3 linked regions of the Nothobranchius furzeri genome follow. The protein of the gene in region 2 interacts with the protein of the main gene of each other region in a pairwise test. Links are inferred from orthologs where the notes say so. Each region holds a gene or a part of one and is shown on either strand. Other genes may lie near its edges.

The links.
Region 1: the proteins of zcchc10 (region 2) and tfcp2 interact in binary tests that used the Homo sapiens proteins (3 or more experiments, as listed by UniProt). The two-hybrid records come from large-scale screens. The link is inferred for Nothobranchius furzeri from reciprocal best matches to the Homo sapiens genes ZCCHC10 and TFCP2.
Region 3: the proteins of zcchc10 (region 2) and stac3 interact in binary tests that used the Homo sapiens proteins (3 or more experiments, as listed by UniProt). The two-hybrid records come from large-scale screens. The link is inferred for Nothobranchius furzeri from reciprocal best matches to the Homo sapiens genes ZCCHC10 and STAC3.

What each region holds. Positions count from the first base shown.
Region 1 is NC_091755.1:37,310,966-37,318,746, reverse strand, and holds the start of tfcp2 (transcription factor CP2), read right to left. Parts: upstream 4,119-7,781; 5' UTR 3,892-4,118; intron 3,626-3,891; 5' UTR 3,560-3,625; coding exon 3,438-3,559; intron 2,580-3,437; coding exon 2,428-2,579; intron 1,971-2,427; coding exon 1,894-1,970; intron 1,808-1,893; coding exon 1,702-1,807; intron 1,549-1,701; coding exon 1,442-1,548; intron 193-1,441; coding exon 40-192; intron 1-39.
Region 2 is NC_091750.1:56,824,924-56,832,704, forward strand, and holds the start of zcchc10 (zinc finger CCHC domain-containing protein 10), read left to right. Parts: upstream 1-2,984; 5' UTR 2,985-3,069; coding exon 3,070-3,110; intron 3,111-3,817; coding exon 3,818-3,979; intron 3,980-4,538; coding exon 4,539-4,580; intron 4,581-7,239; coding exon 7,240-7,465; 3' UTR 7,466-7,781.
Region 3 is NC_091755.1:32,732,911-32,740,599, reverse strand, and holds the start of stac3 (SH3 and cysteine-rich domain-containing protein 3), read right to left. Parts: upstream 4,492-7,689; 5' UTR 4,293-4,491; intron 3,605-4,292; 5' UTR 3,575-3,604; coding exon 3,567-3,574; intron 3,125-3,566; coding exon 3,046-3,124; intron 2,873-3,045; coding exon 2,716-2,872; intron 2,637-2,715; coding exon 2,539-2,636; intron 2,427-2,538; coding exon 2,366-2,426; intron 1,047-2,365; coding exon 949-1,046; intron 741-948; coding exon 671-740; intron 540-670; coding exon 490-539; intron 421-489; coding exon 338-420; intron 251-337; coding exon 199-250; intron 128-198; coding exon 1-127. Other genes in the region: mbd6 (methyl-CpG-binding domain protein 5), read left to right, coding at 7,098-7,213. UniProt on the Homo sapiens protein: Required for normal excitation-contraction coupling in skeletal muscle and for normal muscle contraction in response to membrane depolarization. Required for normal Ca(2+) release from the sarcplasmic reticulum, which ultimately leads to muscle contraction.

The sequences.
Region 1 (7,781 bases), on a different chromosome or scaffold from region 2:
ACTCCCAACGTCTGGTTTCATGCTTTCTTTCATCCTAACCTTGAAGACTTTGACTTGGCAGGAGGCTGAGTGCAGATGCTCCGTGTATTCTCCGTTCTCATTCTCTTTAAAAGTGTCAATCTGGATGCGGAACGGGACGCCTTTCTCTCCCCCGTGCTTACGCATGGTGAACTCTGTACTGATGCAGTGAACCTAGAAATAGGGGAATATTGGCTTAAATCCGACAAATTTTTTAAGCGTAACCAATAAAAAATGATGTTTTGTAAAACCATGTTCTGACTAGGGATGTGTATTTTTGAAATTCTGACGATACGATACATATCACGATACAGGGGAGATGATACAATGTATCCCGATATATTGCGATACATTTAGTCAGACGTTACAAGCAATTTTTTTACTGAATTTATTGTAAGAATGTTCAATAAACAGTCCAAACTGATACGTAACATGTTTAACATGAGGTATCTGCACCATGATGGAGGGATTTACATTTCAGTGGTGGAAACAAAACCTGTCGCACACTGCTGCCAACTAGCGGGTGGCGACTGAATTGCGCAAAACGAAAAGAAAATACACAAATGTTTGGGTGTAAATTCTTTCAGGAATTAGATCCGCGACTTTTGAATATTGATGTAATAATCGCAAGAAAAAATATCATGATATTTGCCATATCGATATTTCCGATACACGGCTTTTGAATATCGATATAATATTGCTGGGAAAAATATCGCGATATATTGCCATATCGATATTTTCTTACATCCCTAGTTCTGACTAATTACGATGATCATTTCCAGCCTCAGACCCACAAAACAAATAATAATAATAATAATAATAATAATAATAATACATTGAACTTATATAGCGCTTTTCTAGACACCCAGAGACGCTATCACACACTCTCACATTCACACACTGCTAGTGATGGTAAGCTACTTGTAGCCACAGCCGCCCTGGGGAGGTCTGACAGAGGCGAGGCTGCCATTTGGCGCCGTCTGCCTCTCTGACCACCACTAACACAGGAAAGTTGGGTGAAGTGTCTTGCCCAAGGACACAGCAGCAGGATGCCCCTGGCAGGAGCTGGAATCGAACCCATGACCCTCCAATCATGAGGCAACCCGCTCTACCACCTGAGCTACTGCTGCCCCGAACAAAGAAAACAAAGATTGACATTTACCACTTGTCAGACTACACAAACCGCTTAGTTGCCAAATAACAGAGGGTTTACAGTAAAGGTCCTTTTATGACAACTAGTTTCTGTAAGTTTTGGAAGTAAACTAAAGATGTAAACTCTCCTGTGGTAGCTTGGACCAGACTATTCCCAAAACAGCACTAAATTGGTTAAACTCACTAAGTTACCTTTAAAAGACTAAAATCAATCAGAAGTCCAGAGAAGGAAGCGTTAGAAAGTAAAGTAAAGTTGCAACTTTGATGCTACCTGGATAAAAACAGAGGTTCTCTTTGAGGGATCCCAGAGGAACTCCACAGTGTTTAGCTGAGTGGGGTTGGCCCTGGGGTCGATCATACCCACTGACATGGGGATATCTGCAATGATCCAAAAGTTCTTGTTTGAGCACCAAATTTATCACCAATGTTGTTAATAAACATGCTTTTATCATAAAACCAGCCAATGGTGAACGTGCAGATCATTCTTTTAAAAGTCCAGATGAAAACGGCCGTTTTCTCCACGGGGCTCACCCAGGTCAAGGATCCGGTCTCCAGGCCTGTTCCAGCGCCAGCCCTCCAGCTGCTGGTGCTCCGTGTACTGAAGCCGCCGATCGTGAAACACCACGCGGATAATACTCTGAAACGAGTATACACACATATGTGATATACATGATTTAGTCCAGCAATCATTAAACAACAGAAACACACTGAAATAACTCCCACCTTGACCATTTTACCAGTGATTTCAGGAAGTTCCCCAATTTTCTGATTGTCAAGCATTCTTATTTCATAGGACTGCCCTGCATTAGCAGAGAGAAACAACTTCAAATTAAGATCCCGCCTCCAAGAGGGCCGTCACACACCGCGGACACACTCCTCAGTCATGCAAGGCATGCATCTTTATGTTATCAAGCACAACTACATAGCTATTTATAAAAGAACATAATCTGTAAAAAGAATAATGTGGTAAACATTCAGATGCTCTATTCTAACTTACTGACTGCTTTGCTCATATACATTAAAGCCAGTTTCTATTACTTTCAGTTTATTGTTTCACTGTTAAAACTAACTTAAATCAAAGGGAAACAAAATTTTACATAAATCCATTCAGGCAAGAAAAAAAAAGAAATAAGTTGATTTAATTGTCTGATCAATCCTAAACAGAATGACATGTGAGGATCTGAACCTCTCCTCTCTTGGACCTTGACTTTACACAAAGTCAAAAAAACGTAGCAAGGTGAGGATCCTGATACTGACCTTGGTTGAGGTAGGTGAGGGTTTCATCGTGTAGCTTAATAGCAGGTGAGGTAGGTGCACACAGAACATACTGAAAAGGGAGGATCTTGTTTTCAGAATCTGGAGGCAAGTTGGATTCTTCCTGCTTGAAAATGGGGAGGGCGAGCACGTCGCTGGAGAAGAGAGCAGTAAAAAAAGTGCTGCCTGTGAGCTGCTAAAATCTTTTCACTTCAGTGAGAAACATTCAACTCTTTAAATTCAAGAAAGCTTTAGACAACCAAATCCCCCTTTTTCTGCTTGTTTGATGACCTTCACTAACACAACACACTGTGCTGCTCATTCACTATAATGGAGGGAATACAACTAAATACCAATGTCTCCAGTGCTCATGTCAGAGCTCCCCTCAACACAGGAATTTCTCCAGTGACCAGACACGTTTCATAGCTCTTAATAAACCACAAAAAACACATCTGTCTCCAGAAAAGGAGTTAATTCACTCTCATAAACATAAGATACACCACATCATCAGCTTTGCTAATGTTTTGAGAGATCCTGCAGTTAGAATAAATCAGTTCCATCGTAATCGAACCAAACAGTGAACGCGTACAGCTATTCATTTGTTCTGTAGATGTATGTGCACATCTGTGATTCATAGCAATTTAATAATGTGTGAGCAATTTTAGCTGATCCAGGTTTTAAGATGCCCCTCGTCTAAAAATATTGTCCAGTGGCACAAAGAAAAAGAGCTCAACACAAAAGTAAAGGTCAGAGTCAGGGTAAGAGAAGGCTGATATTCAAACGTACAGCTGAAGAATCCATTTCAATCCTAAACGTATGGACTAAAGCTTACACAAACAAGTAAATGTCAGAAAGAATGCAAAAACCTACACGTTAACCTGAAAGATTTTTATTATTCACTTGATATCAACAATGGCAATAAATTAATAGGCTAAAATTTAGTTAGAGCATCCAGATTAGCAGAGCGCACGTTAATTCCCTCCACAAGGAGAAACAACAAACTCAGGGTGTACCTCATACTGTAGGCTCCGGCACCAAGTTCCTGGCCGATACCAGAGAGACTGGCATCAAAGTCTTGGGCCAGCCCGGACTCGATCACCTCATCCGTGAGGGGCAGCTTCAGAGCCCACGCCATGACGGTGACGCTGTGGAGGTTTTACCGAGTACCGCTGCTCACCTGCTCCTCACAACCTTCAGAGGACTCGAGGGCAAGGTGGGGGGAAAGAAAGATTACTCACAAGTGAACCCCGACACCAACACCGTAAAAAAGTTTCGTTTTACTCAGTAAAATAAATTTCAGACAGAAACTAGTTAAGTTGATTAACTAAGAGCGGTCGGAAATGGGTTTTACAATAAACACGTTTTTTATCTCCCATCTTAAAATTCAGCGAACTTGTGTAAAAATGTATGCAGATTTTTAGTAACGTTTTTGTTACTAACGTGCTCCGATTAGATATTCAAGCTTACCTTTAGAAGATGAGTTTTTCTGTCGTAACAGCGCCGCGGTTTCATGCCATCATGTCGCGCGCTATTTGGCCGAAAGAACTAAAATAAACATCTCTAGCTAACGGCTTGGGTACAGAGGATGCTAGTCCGTATTTACTTTACTACAGTTTCAGGGTTTTATTCAAACCATTTATTCTCTACGTAACGTAGCTATGGACCCAAAGCCCAAGACAGATCTTTATATTCGCTATATATTGCTTCGTTTTGTTTATTAAGCTTCGTCGAAAGGGAGAAACAGTAATTTCCGGTTTTCACTCTTCTTCGTCGCGATCTAAACCGGAAGTGCTCATTACTGCCACCTACCAGTGGTTTTTTTGTATGTTTTATTATTAATTTTTTTTTATTTAATTTTTTTTTTTACCTTATTTTCAATCTGCGATTTCACATACATTCAGTTTACAATGTAACCTACATTCAACGTACTGAAGAATATAGAAAATACAAATGACCTCACTTGAGGAAAATAAAAATTTCATTTAGAACTTGCAACAATTACCACATGACACTATACCATAAAATAAATTATGATGCAAGATAATAATAATTAAAATAAAAATAACATATCAACAAACAAAAAAATGTTCAGAGGTTGATATTTCAACATTATATTTCAAACATGTTTGATTCATTGGACTGTAATTTAAACAACAAGAAACTCAGACATTGTTTCGTACAACTCAGTTATAGATTGGCTATTTTCTGATAATACTTTTAGAGATGTTTTAAATTGTTTTATTTCATTTTTAAAATGGTTAATGTTAGACTTGCTGTTTTTCCATTCAGTTTTATGTATATGGTATTTTCCCATGTTGAAAATAATGTTCACCATTTTGGATATCTTTTTTGGAAGAGCATCCATGTATATCAACACTTTAGATTTGTTAAGCCACACATCATTTCTCTCAATATTTAATAATCGATAAACATCCTCCCAAAAACCAATTGTTACTGAACACGAGAAGAAAATGTGCTCAATAGTTTCACATTCTGTCATACAAAAGACACACTGATTCCCTTCAAAATTAAATCTTTTTTCTTAATGTTTCGGCAGCAGGATAGATATTATGTATTATTTTGAATTTAATTTCTTTCAACTTGGGTGCAATTGGCCATTTAAGATAGCTGCACTATGGCTTTGTTAATGTAGTTTCCTTTCCTGTGATTTTTATTGTTGTTGATTTTTCAATATCATAGAATAACTTATTTTTAACATACTTCCAAGTACTTTGTTATTACATTTTTGTTCACCTAATTTAAATTTGCCAATTTTCAACTCAGGAAGTTTAATCACCACATTCGAATTAAGCAAGGTATTTTTAATCATGAATTTTAAAGGAAGTGGAACAGCTCTACTGATTTGATTATTAAATTTTAAAATTAAATTTTTCGACAAAACATTCAAATTGTAACAAATTGCCATTTTTATCTATCAAATCTGTCACATGTAAAATGTTTTTGTCATACCATTCTTTTTTGAATATAGTCTTCCTATTAATTACAATGGTTCTATTATTCCACAAGGTAGAGCTATGTGGTGTAAAGTTGTGGCTGAATATCATTTTCCATTAGAGCAGTATTTGTTTATGGAAGTCAGATAGTTTGATTGGTAATTTAGATATGTCAAAGTCACATTTTAACAGGAATTCTAATCCTCCAACCTTTTGGAAATATATATTTTGGTGTGTGGAACCACATAGAATGTGGTTGTATTAAAACAGCTTTTATCCAATTCCATGCTGTAGTTCTTTTTTAAAACACAGAGCAGTTTTTGTTTACCTGTTTTCCCACTACGTTTCGTTTGCGGCTGCAAACTTCCTCAGCCGCAAACAAAACGTAGCGGGAAAACAGGTAAACAAAAACTGCTATGTGTTTTAAAAAAGAACTACAGCATGGAATTAAGAGATACGACACAGCAAGAACACACCTAAGAAGCTTTTATCCAGTTTAGCTTAAGTACACCAATCATGGCTTCAAAATCAGCAGCCTTTAACCCAACTCATTTTGGGGGATCTAGTAGAGCGTGTAGACAACATCAAATTCCTGGGCATCCACATCACCTCAGATCCAACCTGGTCACTAAACGCTTCCTTTCTGGTAAAGAAGGCCCAACAAAGACTCTTCTACCTTAGGAAACTGAAGGGAGCCGGTCTCTCCCCCCAACTGCTTAAGAACTTCTACAGAGCCATGGTTGAGAGCATCCTATCACTCAGTATGACGGTGTGGTATGGGAGCTGTACCGTCCAGAACAAAAAGGACCTGGCCAGGGTGGTGAAAACTGCTCAGTGGATCGTGGGGAGCCCGCTACCAGATCTGGACTCAGTATATACCATCCGACTACAAAGGAAGGCTAACCGTATCGCTGCTGATTCCTTCCATCCAGGTCACAAACTGTTTATGCCGCTACCGTCCAGGAAATGTTACAGGAATATCAAGGCCACAAACACCAGGCTGAGGAACAGCTTCTTCCAAAGAGCTGTTAAAGCCATCTGCCCCCCTCCCACCCCACCCCTCCTGTAATCCTTCCCCCACCTCTGTGACCCTGTAGACACCTACACTCCCAACCAAAGACCCATGAGACTATTAGACTTTCAATGATGGCTTGGTTGTAATTTACAATGATCCTGTTTTTTCATGCTGCTATTGTCCTTTTCACACTTGAATCTTCTATGTGCAATAATATCAATCAACATGTTGATCAGTACGATCAGAATGTCAGTCAGTGCAACATTTATCTTTTATATCTTTTAAATTATTCAGCTTCTTTTACTCATGTTACGAGTGTGTGTATGGCTCCCTGAAAGGAAGGTTATGTATTGTTCTTTTTTTGTTTTACTCTTCATGTTTTTATCATTCTATTTGTGGTCTTGGTGCCCTTTAAGCTGAGAGCTGCCAACCAAATTTTGTTATGTGTATGCATAACGACAATAAAGAATTCAATTCAAGACACTTAACCCACGTTGCCTGCTGGTGGTGGTCGGAGGGACCGGTGGCGCCTGTGCTCGGCAGCCTCGCCTCTGTCAGTGCGCCCCAGGGCAGCTGTGGCTACATCGTAGCTCATCCCCACCAGGGTGTGAATGTGTGAACGACTGATTGTGTTGTAAAGCGCCTTGGGGGGTTCCAGGACTCTAGAAGGTGCTGTATCAAACACAGGTCATTTACCATTTTATGGTAATTTGCATCTCAATAATATTCAATTCAATTCAATTCAAAAATACTTTATTAATCCCAGAGGGAAATTGATTGCTGTAGTAGCTCAGAGTAATAATAATAATCAAGTCATCAAAGAGTTGTTGTATATTACAATGGCTGTTGGCAGGAAGGATCTCCAGTAGCGGTCAGTGTTGCAGCCAAACTGAAGAAGCCTCTGACTGAAGACACTCTTCCGTTGTCGGACAGTCTTGTGACGAGAATGCTTGTCCATCATTTTCTTGATTCTCTGGAGAATCCTTCTATGCATTATCTCCTCCAGCGGTTCTGAAACTGCCGAAACTCTGGCTGAGTCCTTGAAAGGTCTTGGAGTTCCTCCATCTTGTTGGCCAGTGATCTCACATTGCCCATTATGATCGATGGAAGAGATGGTTTGAATTTCCTCTTTCTCTGTCTCCGTTTTGCTCCCGCTCTGCACCCATGCTTCTTGTGTTTTAGCTCATTTGGGATTTGTGGCTTCAGTTGAGGTATTATTTCAGCCTTTCCAATGTTAATCAGCTGCTCCCGATTGTAAACCAGCTTGTTGCCATGGTTACGCATAATAACAAATGCTCAAAAAGTGAAAAAAGCTAAAAAACAGCTGTAAAAATCCTCCAAGCTTCACAGCACCAGAAACAGAAAAGTAAAGTGTCCAAAAAATACAG
Region 2 (7,781 bases):
GTGTAAGCGCCATTATACTGATAACGAGTTCCAACAGGTGCCATTAATACAGGTAACGCGTGGAGGACAAGGAGCCTTCAGATCTGTGAGAGTCAGAAATCTTGCTTGTTTGTAGGAAACCAAACAGTAATTTTCCACAATTATTTTCATTTAAATTCTGTAAAAATCAGACAATGTGAATTTCTGGATATTTTTCTCATTTTGTCTCTCATGGTTGAGGTATACCTATGATGAAAATTACAGGCCACTCATCTTTTTAACTGGGAGAACTTGCACAACTGGAGGCTTTTCCCCATTGCTGCTTGCACCAATACCACTAGGTATTCTGTCTTCTTTTAACTTCATATGTTTTTTGTCATTATATCATTACTTGTGTTGTTGTTTGCGCCAGGGATGTGAAGAAACAGTTTTGACATTAAAGTGGAATTAAGTGAATTGGGAAGCAGAGCAGATCTCAGGATTCTCTTGTAGAACCAGCTTTCATTCATGATGCAGATGCTGTCCAGAACAAAAATAGGTCTGTTAGTCACAGTTATTCTGACTCATCCCTTCAGACCTAGACTTCTGGGAGAAAAACTGAACGCACATCTCCCTCTACATTTGCATTTAAAGCTATATGCCATTCAACTTTGTTTTCTCTGTTTAGCTTCTATAGAAACAACAACTTACCCAGCCTGTATCTCTTTCATGGGTGTTGCACCAGATGTTGCCTTGGTGACTCTGTAGGCCAGATGTAGACTCAAATTACAATATTTCAGCACTCATGGATAAAACATTTTGCTTCACATTTAAACCCTGTCTCCATCTATGACTCAACATGAAACACCATTGACTCATGTGATCAGTTACATAACGCTGTGTGTGCATCGTGCCAGCATCACACCAGCATCATGTCTGCACGCATGTAAATAAGAGTCACCAAAGAACATCTGTAGATCCATCATCAGGACCAAGTCCTAAATGATGAAGTCAATTAAATTGTGTTTAATTCAGTTTATTTATATGGCATCAAATTACAAGAAGAGTCGTCTCAAGGCACTTCACAAAGTAAACATTCTAAAGCGGTTCAGTTCATTAAGCCAATCAGTAAAAAGTTTCCTATATAAGGAACCTAGCAAATTGCATGGAGTCACTGACTGGTGTCAGTGACTTTACAGCAATCCTCATACTAAGCAAGTAGCGACAGTGGAAAACTCCCTTTTAACAAGAAAAACTTCCAGAGGATCCTGGCTCAGTAGGAATTGCCATCCGCCACGACTCACTGAGGATCGAGGAAACAGAGCAGACACCCCCCACACATACCAGGAAAAGTGCTCTTTATTTATTTATTTAGGACAGTGCATGTTAATGAACATAAATGTAAATGCAGCTTACATGAATGTAAACATGCCAGATTATAGCCAAAGGCTAATTTCCATCTGTTGTCCTTAGACATAAAAAGACATAATGATTCATGAAAATTCATCATTCATTCATAATCAAAACTCCATCACCAAACCTACGCCATTCTATTCACAAATAAAACATCAAAACTATACAACTCGTACATGATCACACACTTGATTTGTCCATAACCAGTTTTTAACATTTGCCTTTAAACAAATTGAAAGTCGAGCATTCTCTAACGGGTTGAGTGCCTGTTAAATAGTGACAGGCACCAAAGTAAAATGGTAAATGGCCTGTATTTGACATAGCACCTTCTAGAGTCCTGGAACCTCCCAAGGAGCTTGTTGTGGCCACCAGCCTGGCCTCTTCAGGTGCAGGAGCCAGGATCACCCAGCCTCGGTGATCAGCCAGGCACCGCCCCTCTTCCTCCTTTCTTCCAGGCTGCTGAGGAGCACAGCTGAGCTAAATCATCTGGTGACCTACACCTGGGATAAAAAGGCCGTGCCTTCAGCAGTCTGGGAGGCAGCAGTGCAGGGGCTAAGCTGTTATTCATGCCTCATTTTGGTTTCAACCCCTTCATTTTGATGAGTCTTAATTTTAATAGTTTTAACTCTGAGTGATCCAAAGGGATCTTTGTTTGATGTCAACTTGGTTGACTTGGTTTTAAGGTTAACGTTGTAGTTTACTGACTTTGGGATTTTAAAACACTCAGTGTTTTTCTAGTGTGTCAGATTTTACTATCAACTTGAAGATTTTGGAAACACTTTCTGTTCAGTAAAACTTTTAATATAAGTTTTAACCAGGTGTTTTTAATGTTGGTAATTGGTCTTTTAGTGTTAACCTTTTTGAGAGTTTTTTTTTTGTTTGGCATTTTTTAAACAATGCTCACCATCTGTTTGCACTTGTTTTTAGAACCTTTTATAACAATTAAACCCATTTTAAACCCACTATCATGTTTCTTGTGTTCCCCTTCCTTCACATTTTAACACCTCCTGTCGGGGACGTAACAGTGCTTTACAACACAGTCATGCTCACCCTGGTCTGGTCGATGAGCTACATTCTAGCCACAGCTGCCCTGGGGTACACTGACAGAGGCGAGGCTGTCGAGCGCTGGCGCTACTGGTCCATCCGACCACCATCAGCAAGCAAGGGGGGTTAAGTATCTTGCCCATGGACACAACAACAGCGACAGACTGAGTGGGGCTTGAACCTGCAACCTTCCGATTATGGGACGAGCACTTAACTCCTGTGCCAGTGTCACCCCATACAAAGAGTAAATACGTAGACACCTCATGGGATGGCGCTGCCTATTGGAGCTGCCGAAGTGGCCGGCTGCCATCTTAGTCTCCATTCGGCACACTACCAGAGGCGAGTCTGCCTCTGTCAGTGTGTCTGTCAGTGTAATTAAACAAAATAAATAAACAAATACAAATCTAAAATCCTATCAGGTAGGCTAGAAAAGTCACTATAGTAATCCCACATGATCTATTTACAATTGTACGCGGGTTGTTGTAACCGTGGGATGCACAAAAACGGGCATAGTTGCGTACTCTGCATTGCCTTCGGAGAATGAAGAGACCCATCCAAAATGGCGACGACACGGGTGGTTACGTATTCTTTTCACTCCTTTACATTTCCGGAAATAGGCCCTGAGCTGACACCAACGAAGAAGAGACTTCAAACATGGCGACTCCCATGCATAGAATAATAGCGAGAAGACAAGCGTGAGTAAAACATTTTTAAACTTAGCGTAGCAATATTATTTTAGTATATTTTGTGTCTACATTTGTTACGTTACCACGTGCGGTCTATAGCTGACCTACAGTTTTACATTCAGCCTGTAAAGAACGAACTTGGAGGGACGGGCATCCCGCGGCTCTACGAAGCGCTACGTTGTGTGAAACTGTACTCTTCTGAAGCTGTTATTTATTTTTATAATACCCCAGTTTAAGTAAAAAATAATTTTGTTTACATCGATGTTAATGTCAATATAGTTATAACCAATAGTCGGATCAAAGTATTGAGAAGAATCGGGACTTGGGCAGAGTTTTGATAATTTGTGATTATTGGTGGGGTTTCAGTTTCTTTGGTGGAACACCTGCGAGTTTCTGAGTTTAAAATGAAGTATTCATTACTAGTGTATTAATTATGAGATGGCTACATAAAGCTTCGTGTAGCTTCTCAACTATTTTCTTTGCCCAGAGGTTCACGTCTTCGATGCATCATTCATTGCTTATAGTGACACCTGCTGGTGGAGTTAAACTACGGCAGCCATCATTTTTTTCATAATTTATACTGGAATCATTTGTTCCATTCATTATTAATTTTAAGTAATCTGACAACAAATACATGTATGTGCAAATGTCTTACTTCTGTAGTTTATGTATTTTTTCCTGTTTGGAAGGTATTTATTTATTTTTATTGCTTACAGGGAGGCAAACAAACAAAATGTGCGTTGTCAGAAGTGCTTGGAGATGGGACACTGGACTTACGAGTGCACTGGGAAACGGAAATATTTGCACCGACCGTCAAGAACAACCGAAATGAAAAAGAAGCTGAAGGAGATAGAAAACAAACCTCTCAGCATCACAGGGTGAGTCATCTCTGACAGTTTGAAGGACAAGTCATTTACACCTGGACTTCATGTAGGGTTGGGCAATAAATCGAAAATGTATCGTTATTGAAATTTCTGACTCTTATCGATAAATGTTCCCATGTCATTAAATTTGATAATAAAAAAATGAAAAGATGTGTGTAGGTTGGCAAAATCCATGTCCCTTTAAGAAGCTGTGCAACCTTGAGTGACTTAAAAATTTGATTCAACGTAATACATGTGACAGCCCCATTTATGGACAACTTTTGTTTCTGCGCATACCAAGGTGAAATCCTCAATATATCGTGATATTGATTTTAGGCTAGATCGCCCAGCCTAACTGTGCATAAATAAACCCACAAAAAATGATAATTATAACTGAGAACTCAGTTTTTACAGTGAAATTAGATTTATAAATAATTCTTAAATTTTGACAGTGTTTCAAATGATCTCAAATAGAAGTTGAATTTGTTTAACTAAAATACATAAAAATACAAACAAATGATTTTATCAATAGTGACTGAACTATATATAATGTTGTGATTTTTCCACATCACAGACCTGGAGGAGAAGCTTCCAGTGAAAAGAAAACAAAAAAGAAGTAAGTAATCTGATAATTTACTAGGGATGTGTATTGGTGAAACTCTGATAATACGATACGTATCAAGATACAGGGGAGACAAATTCGATATATCACAATATATTGTGATACATTCAGCCAGATGATATTAGCATTTTTTTTTGACAGAATTTATTGTAGGGAAACTCAGTCCAGTCCAAACTGAAATGTAACATGTTCAATATAAGGTATCTTATAAAGAAGAAGAAAATATCATTTCTATAGCGCCTCTCAAGATAAAAATCACGAGGCGCTTCACAAAAACAAAAAATGTAAAAATATAAAAAATAATTTAGAAAATGGTTAAAAATATATTTAAAATGAGCAAAAAATAGACAATTGTGATTAAAAAAAATGTTAAGAAAGAGAGAGAGAGTGAATAGGAAAGAGGGAAATCAGTGCATCCTGAGGAAGGTGGAATAGAGAAAGGGATTTATATTTCAATGGTGGAAACAAAACCCATTGCACACTGCTGCTACCTAGTGGTCGGCGTTTGAATTGCACCAAAAGAAAAGAAAATACACAAATGTTTGCATGTAAATTCCATGTGGCTTTTAAAGATCGATACAATATTGCAGGAAAAAATATCACAATATATTGTCATATCGATATTTTCTTACATCCCTATAATTTACTATATTGAAATATTTTAAAGAAGTTTCATAGCTGTGGTGTGGTCATTTCTAGTCATTCATTTTTGGATGTAAAAGATTTTTTTATTCATAAAGATGATATTTTAATTCTTATGTTCATATTTCTCAACTTGTACCACTTTAAACAGAATTGTGACTTAACAGTTCCATCTAGTGGCAGTTGATGAGAAGTGAAACCATTTTCTTGGTTATTGTCTGTTTTTAGACAAGACTCTTAGTGAATTTACATTTGATTCTTGTTTCTTTTGTACTGTGATAGTAGAACAGCTTCACATTTTCCATCAGTTAAATTGTTGTTACAGATTAATTGGAAAGTCAATTAAAAAAGTAATTATAAAAAGATTTAAATGTATCTTAGCCTGTTTAACCCTAACGCCCCCCAATTGGGTGCCTCTACAGTTTCATGTCCCAAACATCTACAACTGTCCACGTTCTCCAAACACAACTAAAACCACAATCAAACAGCCCAGATGGGAAACAAGGCCATTTTAAATGGTAATAAATTAAGATACAACGATCTTTGAACTTTATTTTAGAAGAGCATCTGACCTTCTCTGGTGTCTGCTGGGAAAAAACCCTTGAACACATTTAGTTGAGGACCCTGGAATAAATAAAACAATTGACAACATTTCCTAAATGGAATTTGAACTCACAACCTCCATCCTGTCAGCACTTTCACACAGGGCAGCTCTTCTAACATACAGTTCAAGTATTATTTTATCTTAATGTATCAAAATCCAAAAATTACTTTGTTTACAATCTAAACAGTTTTGATAGTAGCTGTAGTTGTGCTCGGGGACTTGGGACATGGAACTCCAAAGGCCCCCAACTGGGAGGTGCCAGGGCCCAAAGAAAAAAGGCCTTGGGCCTAAAGGGTTAAAAACTGTTCAGTAAAAAGTACTTAAATTCAATTTTAATGTGTTTGCAATAAATGCTTTTTTTTTGTTGTTGCATCAACTGGTGTTTACATGTGTTTCAAATAAGCTATTATTGGCTAAAGAAGACACATAAATAAGGGTATTACTGCTAAATCTCCAATACATTTGTTTGAAAACATGTACTTTTGCAGAAAATCATCTCATATGATCTCAGAGACAGGACAGCTGCAAAGAACCAACATTTCAGACATTTTTTGTTATTTTACGAATGTGAAAATCTTTTTGTCACTATGTTTGTGCAAGATGACACCCACAGCTGCCTGTTTAACATTCCAGTAGATGTATCAATCAATCAATCAATCAAAGCTTTATTTATAAAGCGCCTTCCGCAACCCTGTCAGGAAGCCCAAAGCGCTGAACATGGTACAGTTGTAAGTAATTATACTGAATAAATCAACAATAAAAGAAATTCAAATTACAAAATACAAAATGGAAATAACAAAATAGATGAAACATTCCGGTAAAATACAAATGTGTGAAACACAATTGGATTGAGTGGATGGATTGAGTGTACCAATGAAAACTGTGGAATGGATTCAACATAATAGAGGGCCATAATCAAACATGTTCTGGAAACGCCAAGTGGAGGAGGTGTGTTTTTAGGTGATTCTTAAAGACTGGCAGAGAGGGGGACAGCCTAACTGAGGGTGGCAACTGGTTCCAGAGTAACGGTGCTAGGACTGAGAAAGCCCGGTCCCCACGGGTACGACACCTAGACCGAGGGACAGCAAGCAGGCCTTGGTCAGAGGAGCGCAGAGCGCGTGATGGGGAATGTCTGTTCAGGAGTGTGGCCAGATAGGGGGGAGCACCACCCTGGAAGAAATGATAAACAAAGACGAGGATTTTGAATTGTGAGCGATAGGAAATCGGAAGCCAGTGCAGGGAGGCCAGAACTGGACTGATGTGGTCCCGTTTCCTGGTCCCAGTCAGGAACCTGGCAGCGCTGTTCTGCACAACCTGTAGGCGACGCAGTGTTGACTGACACAACCCTGCAAACAGGTTTACATTTTACTGCTCCCATCCTGTTCTCTCCTTGTGCCGCGCTTTTAGGGCAAAAGACTCCAGCGACGACAGCAGCAATGCCGACGGCTCCTCCAGCGACTCGTCAGACAGCAGCGACTCCTCCAGCTCATCTTCAGACGATAGCAGCAGCGACAGCGACGACAGCTCCTCCTCATCTTCCTCCTCCACCTCTTCGTCATCAAACAGCTCAGACTCGGGAAGCAGCAGCGATTCAGATCAAGGGCCTCCAAAGAAGAAGAGAAAGAAGAAATGAGCATGCTGGGAAGAGTTGGCTTTCTGTTTGCATCTTATTTTTCTGCGTTATTTTCCCCAAAAAGTCCTCAAGTGTTTTATTTTTTTCAGCTGGTTTATAAGGTTTGATTTAGTTGGACAACGATGGCAGATGAACAAGAGGCTGGTTTAAGCTGTGTTGTTCTGTTTTTCTAACTTCTTGTCTCTGTTTTGTTGACTGTGGCATTTTCTCAAGTTTCTTAAAGTATTTGCAATTAAAGAGGAAACTTTTAAAAAACAAATAGAACCAATGCAATTGTTCGAATACTTTAATGTATATTTAAGCTAATCCATATAAT
Region 3 (7,689 bases), on a different chromosome or scaffold from region 2:
TGAGCGTAATTTGTCCCATTTCTCTGTTGCCAACAAAGGAGCGGGTCACCTTGTAGACTCTCTCTGATGCTCGTACTTTTATGAGGTAGTTGGCAGGGAAGTAGCCCGTCTTCTCCCCCATCTTTCCCTGATAATCCGACAGTTTGAGTTAATCTTCTGCCGGGACACGTATGGAATCAGCGTGTTTCCGTAACTCACCCTCCACCACTCTTCATTGGAGTCATCCAGCACTATGATCCGATCACCAGGGCTAATAAACAGACACATCATGTTTGTTTGAGACACATTCAAGACAAAGGCTTTGTTTTATGATGTCATTTCTATCCTTTAATCCTACTGGAAGTCAAGATCGTCTTTCTCGATTGCCTTGAAGCGGTAGAGAGCCAGGTAGTAGTGGGACCCGGTAAATGTTCCCTTACTCTGTTGACAAAAATGACAGATTATGGAGATTTTAAACAAAATGCATCCTTATGAAATGTTTGCTTTGACCTTCTCGTCTGCTTTGTCTCCTCCTTTTTCTTTCTTATCCTCGGGTTTTCCTGTGCGAACAGTCACCAAGTCCGTTCGTGAAACTTATTAACAGCCATCATTTTTCTTTGCAGAAAACTAATTTCATAGATTTATGCCTAATAGCAATTATTGTGTAATTTACCAAGGTACATTTTCTTACCTTCTCCTGCTTCCTCACTCTCTTTGGGCTGCTGGTTCTCCTCCTCTTCCTCTTCCATCATCATCATCATCTAAAGCACATATAAGTGAATAAATGTTGTGATTTATTGACAATATTCTGAAGTTACCTAAAGTCATTTTGAGCAGTGCATCTGCTTTAATCAATTATTTTTCAAATGTGTGCTTTCATACCTTTGTTGGGTTTGTTTTACACAATGATGTGTTTCTGAAATGTGTTTTATTGTGTTTTTATTGATGAAACTCATCGTAAATACTCACATTTTTCTTGTCATTTTCATTCTTTTTGCGCTCCTTGTTCGCCATGATGACACCAACTCTCAGTGTGTCAAAGACTGGGTCGTTTCGGTTTGGGTTGTCTGGTGTCGGATGGAAAATTTTGGCCAGAAAATATCAGCACTTTCAATTATAAAGCTTTATTTAATGAATAATCTGTAGAAAATGCTATAGTCCAGGCATTACAAACATTAGATTTTTTTATCTCAAATTTTTAGGGATGCACTGATACAAAAAATGGGCTAATATTAAATGGCTATTATTAGACCATGCTGAAGAATTTGATGTTTAATATGTACATGGCATGTAAAAGTTGTGTCATTAAAAGAGTGAAAATCAACTCATTATTTCTGATATTACATTTTAAAGGTGCACTATGTAAAAATATAGTGAAAAATCTACAGTGAGAAAATCCAAAAAGTGTTGGTCATTTTAGAAGGAAGGTTATATTTAAACACATTTCATATCCAGCTGGCTGTGAGGATTGTCAGTTCATCTCATTTCAAAACAAAGGAAAGATGGACGTAACTAGTGTTTACTACCAGTGAGTGTTGTCATGATCCGCCCCGGCCTCCCTGACTGTGTCTCTCCTGCCCTGATTAGCCTTATTGTTCTCACCTGTCCCTCATTACTCTGCCCATGTGTTCCTGATTCCCTTGTGTATTTATACCTCCCTCCTTGTTGCTGTCTTTGTCGGTTCATTGTCGTTTGTGCATGTTCGTTCGTCCTGTTGCTCCCAGTCTACGATTAAACATCTTTTAATTTTTTCATCCGTTGCCTGCTCATCTGCCTCCTGAAACCCACCACCCGCAGAACATGACAAGTGTGGGGTTGTTGTGTCTCCTGCGAGCTAATACTGCAGCGCCGATAGTTGTAATTTGACTACGGCCGGCAAAAAGCTCCAGAGTTGTTTAAAGTGATTGCAGCAACCAGATTTTACCACAGATTGTCATATTTACTTCATTTCTACATAATGCACCTTAAATGCCAACATTAGCTGTTAGTAACGGACATCCCTAAAATATAATTACACCTTTGTAAGGAAGATTTTTCAACATTGGGCACTTCTAACCATTATAAATTGTAGATTGCTCTCAATGATTGATTGATTGACTGATTGACATGATTAAAAATTCACTGCATGACCATCTCTCTCCAAGATACAACAATAGCAACTAGATGGAAGAAAGTATCAGCCAAGTTTTACTTATTGGACCGATACACAGATAAAAAACAAACATCAGCCGATATGATGTTGATGTCGATATTTCCGACCTCCCTACTAATTTTACACATCTGCTTAAAAGAATTCACCGTAAAATTTAATTATTTTACTCTGATTTAGCAGTAATAAATAAAGGATTACTAATTCTAGGAGTGATTGAAGGTTTGATGGACTCACTTGGATCTGGGATGTCGCTGCTGTACAGAGGAGAACTATAGGCTCTTCTAAAGCCAGGTGGCTACAAGACAAAGAAAAAAAAAGAAAAAATTTCAACTAAAACCTTCCATTTAGTCCTGTAGTGCTTTTTTAGACATTTAAATTCAAATGTGTGTGAGAGAGAGAAAACTCACGATTTTTCCAAAGCACTTCTGGAACTCGACATAGGACTGACACGAATGGTGGATGTTGGTCTTGCAGTTTTTACACCTCAGACAAAATTTGTTGTTCACTAAGAGATGTGCAAAGTTAACCGAATCATCATAAATCTCAAAATATGTCTCGTGATATTTTCTGGGTTAAACACGTACAGACTATCATGCGAGCGCAGACGTCACAGAACTTGGGTTTCTTGCAGTAATGGTCCTTAAACTTGTGAGGTTTGTCATTGATCCGAACAATGGGCTCGGAAGGAGGTTCTGGTTCCTTCTCCTCTACCTCCACCTCCTCCTCATAAATAAAATAGACCTGCAAGCAAAGACGAAGAAGAGAACAGTTCCATACAGGTGATCAGGACTTATTTATTAACTCATGAGATATAAACAAACACCATATTGCAGTCCCGTCCCAGCTGGAGGCTATTTTAATCAGCCTGAGAACGGCTGCTAATAGCGAGTGGTTGACGTGGTGCTGCCACTCACCGTGTCTCCTTCCTCCCTCACTACATTGTCAGGGGCTGGAGGATTGTCGTGGATGTCCACGGAGTTTTTGTCATCCTCTCTAAGAAGCACAAAGAGAAAGATGAAGACCAACTGAAGCCACCTGCCATGACTGTGGTGTAAAAACGTATCGCAGAGGGAACATCTGGATCATGTGAGGAGATTTATCAGCAAACGTTAATGTGAAAACTGCTCAAAGTTTGAAGGACATTTTTTTTTACATCGCACCTTTTCCCATCATGCACAAACATCAACCAGCTGGTGATAGGGCTCCAGGATCCAGACCAGTTACATATAAATCCAAACACACACCTTTTTGATGAGTGAACTCTTAAACCAGGAACATTGAGGAGAACCATGATGTGCTTCAACAAGATTCCCCGTTCATCACCTCAAACAAACCTGATTTTAGTCGCACTGGTAAATTTAGAGCTCAGATTTTATTTAGTGAAACCCACAGAGATGTTAGAAACATGCAGCACATGGACATGAACTGTACTCACTGATCCATGGAGTGCTGGAAATATCAGTATACTGCACCCTTAAAAGAAATCATGTACATTTTACTGTCTGTCTTTTCTCAAGATGCACTTGCAGTTTGTCAGTAGCTCGTTTTTCCTAAATGCAAAACAAGGCCACATCTTTTGGATTGCATGTTTCTTTTCTGATTTGCCTACATTTTGAAGGACTTGTTTGTTTTTAAGCACCAAACACGTTCCTGGATGACAAGGGAAATTGTTGCTATAGTTGAAATTCACTATTTCAGACAAGGATCTGGTCAAATTATTAACTATAAAGCAAGCAGAGACATAAAACATGTCTTTAGTCTCTCTCTGTGTGACATTCGGAGCTAATACCTTGTAGCAAACAGTGGTAAAGAGCATTTGTCATCCTGACCTGCTCTATTCTTGGTTTTTGAAATTTGATCTGAAAACTAAATTTAGGAACTGCTGCATGTCAGGAAAATATTCCAGACAGCATAAAAGAATTTCAGGAAAAATGAGTAAATAACGGGCTAAATGGATGTAGCATTCACACAACGTTCCTACAAAACGATTCCATTAGGCATTTTTGCTACTTGAGACATAATTAAAAATTACACATAAACTTCACCATCACTTACCAAGTTATTAGAGGTTACACAGAAAAGGTAAATAAAAAAATGCTTCCCTTCACCTGCTAGATTTTTCTGAAGTGTTATGTGGCCATTGAAGCAGAGTTTGACTTACCAACTGACCAAAATGCTCCCTCACTTTTCAGCACTTCTGGATCCAGTACTGTATGGTCCCTCTGTGTTTCCTTCAGGTTATTCCCACACTGGGCGTGAATGCTGAGTGCGACCCAGATATTTATTAAAGCTGTAAGTTTGTGTATCTATGGGTGTAATTGTGAGCATGACAGGCTGAGCACTGCTTTGTGACGTTGACAGTTTGCAACAGCTGAAGGACCTCAAACTAAGCACCAGTGACGATGAGAAATCAGATATGTTCTCTACACACACACACACACACACACACACACACACACACACACACACACACACACACACACACACACACACACATACACACACACACACACACACACACACACACACACACACGCACGCACGCACGCACGCACGCACACACACACAAAGGTATCTGTCCTGCTCATGGGCCTGTATCCCTCCATTCTTTTGGGAGACCAAGGAGAAACAACAAAAATGACTACATCTCTTTCAAAGTTGTAAAAACTATTTTATTTATATATATGTTCAAGTTGTTCTGAATGCTAGTAGATGCTGCAAAAGCTGGATAAATACATAAAAGAAACATTGATTTTTAAACAATAACTGCCATGTAACTCAACCACTCTAGCAAGCATCTTTATTCGTTGTTTTATTTCATTTGTAACAAATAATCCTATAAAGTTTTTCCTCTGTTTATATACAAAATATTTTTGAGCTGTCAGCCCAGTATTAACTCCAACTCAGAATACTTTTTTACAAAGGTGTATTTTGTTGATGTAGAGGTTAAAACGTTGTACACAAATATAATACATTTATTTGTTTGTGTATTTATTAGTTGTTTACGGAATATTATTCTGTTATGTCCTGTCCACCAAACAGCGCCCCCTGTGGATTGACGTCTGACTGGAACACTACAAATGTCTCGTTGCATGTTGGGTACAATATTCCTTACGTGCTCAGTGCGCCTGCGCAAAACAAAACTCCATTATTTTTTTCTCGGAATTTGTAAGAAAAAAACAGAGGGTAACTGTGAATTGGGGATTACACGGGTCGTTATGTTTGTCGGAATACCATTGAATGCTATGCGGATTAGCAGAAGAAAGACCAAAGCGACGGCTGGATAGGTGTGGAGCGGGAACGGGACATCCCTCTGTCTTTGTGGGACACTCTAGAACAAGTAAATATCACTGAGTTAGCCCCTCCAGTTAGCCTAGCTGGGAACGCTAGCCTCCAGAAGAACCCAGGCGTAGTAAAATGAAGCGTTATTGCCCCCTTTGTTTTTAAGTCCGACTGGAAGACGTTGACTAACATTTGAGTGCTGACTCGCCGTGCCAGTTCGTGATTTGGATTATGTAATGATTCGTTTTAGTTATTAGAGTGTTGATCGTTTTCTACGTATTTTATTTAGTATTAATTTAGTAGTCCTAACTAGCTAACTCTTGATTTTCCAGCGAACGAAAAAGAGCGAAGACTTCTAAACTTGGTGGTCAACACATAGCTTGACGCAGAGAAAGATTGTTCACAACATGTTGACGTTAGCTAACAAATATTTGTTAATAAGTGAAATGTGTGGATAAGTTTCATGAAGGTTTTTAGCTAAACAATGTCGTGCAACGCTCGTTTCTTGTACCCGTAGCTAAGACACTAGAGTTTTGCATCGGGAGTGTTTAGTGCTCCTGACAGCTGTCACGACAACAGAGTACCAAGTGGATTTAGCCTGTTAGCTTAGCTGTTAGCTTACACGTTAGCTGCAATATTTATACCGTAATGTTGTTAAACGCATGCATTTAGACGTTTTTCAGACTCCGTGGGATTTAATTTAAGTCTATTTTCCATTGCTTGTTGTTTTCTGACTTTGTTTTGGGAGAGGCAACTGTTTACATTATAGCGAATCAACTACAGGCCTACCCAAACACACCCTCCTACTTCAAAAAAGCCACAGTTTGCTCTGAAGTTGAACTTTTTCTGAGGTAGCAGGGCATCCGATGTAATCTCTCCTTTTTCCAAGTGTGGTTGAATGAGATCAGTTTGAAGAAAGATTTATTGTAGCACATATTCACCGTGCTCCCCCTCTGCCAGATTACATAATCCACCTCATCCACCTTTCTCTGCAGGCTCTTCATCTAAACCACTATTCTGATGTGACCTGAACTAATAAATCTGTTGGAATCATCCAGGAAGTTGAAGGCTTTCCTCGCAGCGGAAGACATTGCAAGTATTTTGAGGAGTCAGGTTTTTTGCCGAAAGTCTGTGAGCTTCTCAGCCACCAGCATGTACATTGGACAACGGATACTGTAGCCAAAGCAGATCTTGGCTTCCCAAAGATGACAAGGTATTTAATCATGCTGTTTTTCTGTTTCCTATCGCTTTATTTTGTTAAATATATATTTCTCTGTCAGTCATGCAAAGTCTGTATTTCAGCAGTGGCCACACCCACCACATGAAAAACACTGTTTTACACTCTGCAGACAAGATTTGACTTCATCATAGGTTAAAAATCAAAGTAAATAACAATAAATCAGACTTGTTTAACATTTATTTGTCACGTGGAAGTCAGATTCTCCACAGCAAAGTATTATTAAGTCTACTTTAATACTCTCAAACTTCATGTTGCAGATTTAGTGAAAATTTAATTTTACTGTTTGGGTTAAAATGAACATAATCTGTGCAGCAGTGCCAGATTTTTCTTAAATTTCATCCCCCTGTTCTCATTATTTATGAAACATTCAAAAGTGAAGAAAAAGGTGAGATGAGATTTATTAACCATTTGCTGCTTTAGGTGCTGGCAGCCTGCAGCATCAAAATGATGGGAGGCAGGGAGACTGTCAGTGGAGACAAGGATGGGGTCCTCGCCACAGCAATAAACGTTCCCATCGGCTGGCACAGGAAAGTGGAAGGAGGGCAGGTGATCTATGTCAGGTGTGTGGAGGAAACACTCTGCTGGAAGTTAACATGTGTGCAAAAAAAGTGTTTTTTGAGATGCGTTAGTTTAGTTGAGAGGTAGCCAGAAGAGGATTTTAAAATGTCTTTTTCTCAACAGTTGGGTAAAATGAAAATAGGTGGTTGCATAAGTAACATTCGACCAGATTTGAAAGTTTTGAACCTTTTTTATTTTAAACTTTTAAGGAAAGCAAACTCACCAAACGACACAAGTGAATAACTAACTGAAAGTCAAAGGTTATATTTAAACAATTTTTTTCTCCAAGTTATGTAAATGCAAATTTTTTTCTTCACAAATATGAGTAAAGCAGAATAATTTTTTATGCTAATGTGCTTTATAGAAATGTAAAAGTTTGATGCCACATTTGGCTGTTTTTAAAAACAAATTTCAACATTTAAAAAAAATTGCCATAACATTATTTCTAGTATTCCAACTGAAACACACCAGTATATGT